Rattus norvegicus: one gene and its partner. The protein of the gene in region 2 binds, or shares a complex with, the protein of the main gene of each other region. Links are inferred from orthologs where the notes say so. Each region holds a gene or a part of one and is shown on either strand. Other genes may lie near its edges. The genes, in order: Myo7b and Cdhr5.

Region 1 (4,610 bases), on a different chromosome or scaffold from region 2:
TAAATGCTTAGAGATGGTTCCTACCTTGTTATAAAGGGATATAACAATGGCTATAGATAAATGGCCAAGGTAAGAGATACAGAGACAGGCTTATGGGAAAGCAGGGCACAGAGCCTCCCTGCCCTCTTTGGCTGCCTCTCCCCAAGCATCTCCTGTGCTCTGTATCTGAAAGCTAATGAAGTCTTATCCAGGAGTTTTACCTTCCCAGAGGTCAGTGAGAGGTCCAACTCTCCACTTAAGTAGTGGTGACTGGTGCCATCCTGAGGCCCTCCGGACTCCAGAACTGGAGCATAATCTCAAGTATCATCAGACAGCTATGAATCACTTCACACACTCCACACACTTAGGGAATGCTCAACTTTTCCAAGTTTTGTGACACAAACTAGGAATAAAGGTATTCAAGAGACACACCTGTGTCCCACTTTGGCTATCCGGGTATTGAGACAAAGGTGCCTGGGAAATAGAACTTTCTCGGGAATCTCGTGCCGGGAGAAGGCTGAAGCCCAGTGCCAGTCAGAAGAGGAACTTGTCTCCCTGAAGAGACTTCACACTTCTGATAATGTGTTTGACCATTTCCAAGATAGATGAGCTGAAACAATGGTGGGTCACTGGTGAGCAGTACCATTCCCTTGACCAGGAGTGCTTAGGCACGGGCACCTCTTGTCCTCTGGTTAAACCTAGACTCCATATGAGAATTCAGAAAGTGGACTTGGGAGGGTCACCGGACCCCTTCGTCCCTCTACACAATGTAGCTCTAATGAATGCAGTGGTTTCAATGATACAAGCTCCCATAGACTCACGGATTCCTTGGCAACCAGAGAATGGCACTATTTAAAAGGATTAGGAAGTGTGGCCTTGTTGGAAGAAGTGTATCACTGGGGATGGGCTTTGAGGTTTCAAAAAGTCCATTCCAAGCCCAGAGTCTCTCTCTCCCTGCTTTTCCTGTTTTTGGTTACCGATTTTTTTTTTCTTTTCTTTTTTTTCGGAGCTGGGGACCGAACCCAGGGCCTTGCGCTTGCTAGGCAAGCGCTCTACCGCTGAGCTAAATCCCCAACCCCTTGGTTACCGATTTTTAAAAACGTGTTTTATTGACGATGGGTGGCTTAGCCTAGCTAGCGTGGGCGGCCAGGACCCACCCAGGTTCTGACCTTATAACTCCAATATCTCTACCGTGTCTCAGCCCTAGCCAGTACTCAGATGCTTCCTCAACCTTGGAACCTCTACCACTCTTCGAAGACACCGAACTGTCTGGACAGTCAGCTGGTTGTCACCCAGGGCTTGGCAAGTGATAAGCAGAGCTTTTTAGGACACAGACTCTGAGGCTCTAGGGAGTGATTATCACAGCTCAGACTGAAGAGCAGACAGTTTCCAGGCTGCTGGCTGGGGCTGCAGGAGGACCTGTGGGAGTGGATATTCCTGAGACAGAGGACAAAGTCCCGTCATAAATTACATATGCCCACAGTGCTTAGCTACTTCCGCTTGGAGCCCTTCCTGTCCTTTCTCTCCCACACTGCCAGGAGCTCTGAACCTGTCTCCCTACTTGGATCTTTCAGGGTGCCCTGGGTGGAGTCAATAGGGTCGCTATACTCTGATCCTGATAAGGTAAGAGAACCCTGGAATACGTGCAAAGAGGGGTTCCAGGCAGGAAGTTGATCTGGAGGTACAGACCTGGGAAACAGGATGGGGCAGGTTTGTGGAGCGGAGGGCTGGAGGTGCCCCTTGAGACTTAGGAAACCCAAAACCTCAGTCCGGCACTTGTAGGGCAGTTGATTCGGGCAGCGGGCTTTCTCCTGGAGGTGAAAAGGGCTATTAAGTCCAATGCTACTGGAGGGTCGGCACCACTCAAGGAAGTAGCCGTCTGCTGCTTCTCCTCTAACCCTGCTGAAAGGCCTCCCATGAAATCCAAGGGACTGAGGACAGCCTAGGTACCATGCTGAGCCCATGTTGTACCAAACCAAGAGACTCTCTGTATTCTCAAAACACTACAGTGATATGGTCTCCACTTTACAGGCAGGAGACTGAGGTCTGGGGCTGGGGTGCCTCCGGAACAAGTGCAGCTCATTCTTGATTTCCACCTAGGCTCATCCACTTCATCTATGGAGGCAGGTTACTGTGTTTAGTCCTGGGCATTGGTTTGAGGCAAAACTGTCACTCATTGTCCTTAGAGCCTTTTCGGGATTCGAGTGTGGGTGTAGGAAGAAGAGATGGCAAAGGAGAGAGATACCCGGCTATAGGCACCCCGGGTGAGGGCACCCCGGCTGTGGGCACCCCGGCTGAGGGCACCCCGGCTGTAGGCACCCCGGCTGTGGGCACCGGGCTGTGGGCTTGATGTGTAATACTCCACTCATGGAGGCGGAAAATGGTCAGTAGGGACCCGAAGTCAGTAGGGACCTGCTGAGGTTTGGTAGCTGGTAGTGTGAGGGCCCCCGCCCTAAGTCTCCTAAGGTGGGTATGCCTGTTTCCTCTTACTAGGCCTCTACTCAGAATCGACTTTATATCTGTGGGTGTCAACTTTGTTCTGATTCATAAGACCCCTGAACTCTGTTTAGGATTGCAGCTTAAAAAAAAAAAAAAGAAAGAAAACCTTGAGGGTCATGCTATGCAGTGAGCACTTCATCGAAGGAGCCATTTTCCCAGCCCTCCCTTGTGCTTGAGCCTCGGTAAAAGCTCATTCAGTCGGTATTGCTTGCCTTTTACGATTTCTACCTCCAGCTCAGGGTCAATTGGCAGCAGGTATGCTAATGTATGCCAGTCTTTTCTCCCACACACCAGTTCCTTTTCTGAGCCCCCAGAACTGTCTCTAGCTCTCAGAACAGAGCTGGAACTCAACCAGGAACCTTGATAAAGCTTTCTGGTAATATCCCACTGACTTAGGCTGAGTCCAGAAGGAATCAACTAAGAGTTCCAGGTTCTGTGACCCAGAACAAAGAACTAAACTATTAATAAAGAAAGAAATATTGAAGCTCTTGAACTAAAATATTCCATAACAACCTCATGGATAATTCTAGAAATAGAGACCATTTGCTAAGAAAGACAAAGACTCTTTCACACAAACACCTGCTTTATTGAAAGAGGAAACAAAATAGTGTCTTTATTAGCTCATATGTATACCAATAATAAAATAGCATTAAAGAAAAACGAGGAAGCAAGATGAGGAGAAAAGCAAGGTAGTGCAACTGGGAAAAGAGATACACACATGCACATGTACACACACACACACACACACACACACACACACACACACAGAGAGAGAGAGAGAGAGAGAGAGAGAGAGAGAGAGAGAGAATTATCATGCAAGTGGAAAGAAAATTATACCATAATGAATTTCATAACAAAAACAGCTGGAGGTGTGAATAGTTGATAGGCTGTTTGGCTAGCATGACATAAGCCCTGGGTTCAGTCTTCCTCGGCACATAAACTGGCTGGCTGTGGTGATGCATGCCTGTAACCCCAGCACTTGTCAGAGGGAAGATCAGAGGTTCAAGGTTATTGTTGGATACAGAGTGAGACTGAGGACAACCTAGGATACATGAGACCCTGTCTCAGAATAGATAGATAGGTGGACAGATGGCTAGAGGGATGGATAGATAGATGGGTGGGTGGATAGATAGATAGATAGATAGATAGATAGATATAGATAGATAGATAGATAGATTATAGATAGATATATGGTTAGATAAATAGATTATAGACATATAGACATAGATAGATAGATAGATAGATAGATAGATAGATAGATAGATAGCTGATAGATAGATGGATAGATTATAGATAGATATATGGTTAGATAAATAGATTATAGACAGACAAAGATAGATAGATAGATAGATAGATAGATAGATAGATAGCTGATAGATAGATGGATAGATTATAGATAGATATATGGTTAGATAAATAGATTATAGACAGACAAAGATAGATAGATAGATAGATAGCTGATAGATAGATGGATAGATTATAGATAGATATATGGTTAGATAAATAGATTATAGACAGACATAGATAGATAGATAGATAGATAGATAGATAGATAGATAGATAGGTAGGTAGATAGAGGAAGGAAAGAAAAGGAAAGCAGGAAGACAGGAAGGAAGGCAGGAAGAAAATAAGCTTGCTCTTGTATGGGAGAAACATAACAGCTTTTGACTTCTTGGGCTCTGGCAGGCCCTTTCTCTAATACTGACCACCCAGAGTGACCTTCTCTGGGCTTGCTTTGGGACCACTGGCTAAGCTGGGTTGGTGCTGAATTCAGGTTAGTCTGGCCTAAATCCCATCGCCTGCTGGCACGTGCTGATGTGCCCTCCCAGCCCCTGTGCTGGGTTGTGGCTCCTGCATCAACCTTTCGTTTCCTTGGGTGGTGACTCCCATGTCCTGGATCCTGGCCCTGGGGCCACATGGGGAATAAGCAATCTTTGCTGACCTAGGATGACTTCTGTGACTTATTCATGTCTTTTTTTTTTTTTTTTCGGAGCTGAGGACCGAACCCAGGGCCTTGCGCTTGCTAGGCAAGTGCTCTACCACTGAGCTAAATCCCCAACCCCGACTTATTCATGTCTTACACAGCTGCAGATGTCTTTTCTGCCCAGAGAACACACATATCTCTTCAGTAG
Region 2 (3,271 bases):
ATCTGCTTCTGTATCCCTGTACCTTCTTCAGTTCACCTATTATGACCTCTTGGTGCCCTCTGTCTAGAGCTAGACACAGACTCCATAGTCAGTGTGGTCAGGCCAGACTAGCCCGGGTGGACCCTTTTCTAGAGCACATCCTAGAACCCCTGTCTGAGTTAAGGGTGACAGTGACTCCAGAGCAACGTGTTAGACTACCTGATATGGGCCCAGTGGTTGTCGGCTGAGAGGTTCCTGGCTTGGGGGTCTGTGTTGAGCCACTAGGTGTGGCTGGCTGAGAAGAGGTGCTGGCCCCTGGAGTGGGGACCATTGGCTGAGAGGTTCCTGGCCTGGGGGTCTGGGTTGAGCTGCCACTAGGTGTGGCTGGCTGAGAAGAGGTGCTAGCCCCTGGAGTGGGGACCATTGGCTGAGAGGTTCCTGGTTTGGGGGTCTGGGTTGAGCTGCCACTAGGTGTGGCTGGCTGAGAAGAGGTGCTAGCCCCTGGAGTGGGGACCATTGGCTGAGAGGTACCTGGTTTGGGGGTCTGTGTTGCATCCCCACCAGGAGTAGCTGTCTGGGGAGAGGTGCTGATTCCAAGAGTAGGGGACCCCCCAGGTACAGTTGGGGCAGAGGTGAGTGGGCTTAGAGTTGTGCCTGCAGGTGGGAATGGGCCAGCACTTCCCCCAGAGCTGGTTGTGGCAGGTCCTTGAGAGGTCCCAGAGGTCGAGGGGGTTTCCAAAGTGGTGTTACTTGAAGGCCCAGTTGTTCCTCCAGCTTCTGGGGGTGTGGGGGACTCTGGTGGTGGCATGTACAGAACTCGGGTTTGCCTCTGTCCCCAGATATGCCTGTCCCAGAGGAGGAGCCACCCTGCCTGGGGATCTGGGGGTGCTCACCTGTGGAGGGCGGCTCTCGCTCTGACACCTGGATCTCCACAATAGTGGTGGCTATGTCTTTAGTCACAGTATTGTTAGCTTCTACCTGGGTCAGGAAAGGGACTTGTTCTCTTGGGTCCCTTTTTACCCCCACACCTTACTCCCCTTATCCCCACTCCACCTCTATGCGGATTGTTCTTTCTGTCTCCATAGGCACAGTGGTCAGCAAGATATCCTTATTCATGATGAATTCTGAGGAGTTGGTGACTTGATATGTGACAGCCGAGTTGAGGTCCTAGATGAGACTCCAGTGAGACCTAGGCCTGGTACTCTATAGTCCATCCCAAGTAGTCTACACAGAGAGAGGAGGCCAGAGGGTCCAGGTATACTTATAGGGTTCGTAGGTAAACAGGAAGGGACTGCATACCGGGAAGCCTAGGTACTGAGCCTGGATCCTCAGGATCTCTGAAGGGAAGGTCTTGTCCTTCACTGCTGTGCCAGCCTCAGAACCCAGTACCACCGTGCCAAAGTACAGGCTCTGAGAGAACTGGAGTGGGTTCCCAGTGACATCTCGAGCCTCCACAACGGCCTGAGTCACTGAGTATCGAGCCATGTCAGCCTGCTCAGCCTGAGGAGTCAGGGGAAGCGGGAGTGGGTATTGGGATTTAAGGCAGCTGGGGCCACAGCTGGGGCCACAGGGGACCCCTCTCTCATCCAGTGCTGGTACCCACCCTGACCACCAGGGTGAAGGTCATGGGGCTGGGGATACTTTTGGCCATCGTGAGGTTGCCATCGTCTTTGTTGATGATAAATGTGTCATCCGTGTTTCCTGGGAGAATTCGTGGTGGAGTTTGGTGTCTGGTCCCTCTGTTGTGGGGTCCAGGTGCTGTGGGGCTAAGCCGTTACTCACCCATCATAATGCTGTAGACGATAGGCTGGTTAATGGCCTGATCTCCGTCCACAGCATAGATGGGACCAGGACTCAAGATGAGAGGGGATGGCTGTAAGAATAGGAACATCTTGAGGTTTAAGAGCCCCAGCTCTTACTCTCTTGTTGTCCCTCAAGATCTGAAACATGGATTGGAGCCTGGAGGGAGGAGCAGTGCCTGCTTGGGACAGAGCTGCAGCCACAGCAGGACTCAGTGGCAACAAGAAGCTAAGAAGGAAATGTTGTAGCCCCAGTGTATGCCGCCTGCCCAGGGACACCACTGGCCTCAGGAGACTCAGCTGACCAAGGACTTAGCAGATCCTTATCAGCATCAGCCCAGCCCCTGAGCTCCTCACATCCCAGCCGACATGTACTCCTCACTGATTTTTGTCTGTATGCCCCACCCCCACCTGGCTGGGAAGGATACTTAATGATTGATTGGTGATTAATTGATTGATTAATTGTTCATTCAGGTTTGTTTCACAAATCACAGAATTGTCCACAAGCCTCTCCAGGAGTGCAGGACGGCGGCCAGATCCCTACCCTGAATATTTTCTGACTTGGCCTTAGATTCAAGTCTGACCCTGGGCCTCCTCACTTCCCATTACCAGTTTGTGTCCTGTGGGGATAACTGTGTGGTACTGGGCCTGAATGCAGAAGTAGTCATCCGTAAAGGAGCACGGCAGGAACCAGGGGGTCCGTAGGTCAGCTGGCAGCACGTTCAAGACCACGGTGGCAGTGGCCGTATGGCTGGGAATTACATTCTCTTCCCTAGTATCCTGTAGTAACAGCCAGCCCCTGATAGGTTAGGCCCAGCGTGGACAGGGCCTACAACATCCAGGACTCAGGAAGATGTGATCTGCCTACCCGTGCCAGCAGCCTGAAGGTCATGTTCGGACTCTTGTAGTAATCCAGAGTCTGGTCCAACTTCAGAGCAGGGGAGTTTATGCCCACCAGGGAGAAGAACTTGCTGGCATTCTGTGGGAAGGGAAGAAGGTTGGACTCTGGAAGGTGGATGAACTGAGGCCTGGAGGCATCAGAAAGGGTGGGGGTTGTCAGCAATGTGTGGGGATGGGGAAGCACTGACGGGGGTCACTTCCTGCAGAGTGTAGACTAGGATGTCATCTTTGTCAGCATCTGTAGCCTTCAGCTCTGTCTCAGGGATGACGATCGTATTCACTCTGGTGTCCTGGGGATGGAGAGGAAGAGGTTGGTCCAGCCATGCTGTAGCTTCTGTATATAGATCTCCCTGATGTTGTCTCCCAGAGACCCCTGTGTCCCCCTGCCTTCCCCATACTCAGACAGCACTGGTTCAGACTGGACTCACCTCCGATACATTATATTCCTTGATTGTAAAGGGGAATTCTGGTGCATTGTCATTGATGTCCAGGACAGCCACAAACACCCTGAACTGTGTCACCTGCAGCAAAGTCACCAGGGTCAGCCCCTGGCTGAGGAGAATGCTCTGATGCCCCCCATCATTCATTCCTTC

Evidence for each region.
Region 1: Cdhr5 (region 2) and Myo7b share a complex: the UniProt entries of both Homo sapiens proteins name them as parts of the IMAC/intermicrovillar adhesion complex. The link is inferred for Rattus norvegicus from reciprocal best matches to the Homo sapiens genes CDHR5 and MYO7B.

The regions. Positions count from the first base shown.
Region 1 is NC_086036.1:23,940,956-23,945,565, reverse strand, and holds the start of Myo7b (unconventional myosin-VIIb), read left to right. Parts: upstream 1-1,516; 5' UTR 1,517-1,602; intron 1,603-4,610. UniProt on the Homo sapiens protein: Myosins are actin-based motor molecules with ATPase activity. Their highly divergent tails are presumed to bind to membranous compartments, which would be moved relative to actin filaments.
Region 2 is NC_086019.1:205,804,976-205,808,246, forward strand, and holds part of Cdhr5 (cadherin-related family member 5 precursor), read right to left. Parts: intron 3,200-3,271; coding exon 3,107-3,199; intron 2,969-3,106; coding exon 2,867-2,968; intron 2,758-2,866; coding exon 2,647-2,757; intron 2,559-2,646; coding exon 2,388-2,558; intron 1,853-2,387; coding exon 1,762-1,852; intron 1,681-1,761; coding exon 1,583-1,680; intron 1,480-1,582; coding exon 1,279-1,479; intron 1,147-1,278; coding exon 1,033-1,146; intron 958-1,032; coding exon 873-957; intron 775-872; coding exon 199-774; intron 1-198. UniProt on the Homo sapiens protein: Intermicrovillar adhesion molecule that forms, via its extracellular domain, calcium-dependent heterophilic complexes with CDHR2 on adjacent microvilli. Thereby, controls the packing of microvilli at the apical membrane of epithelial cells.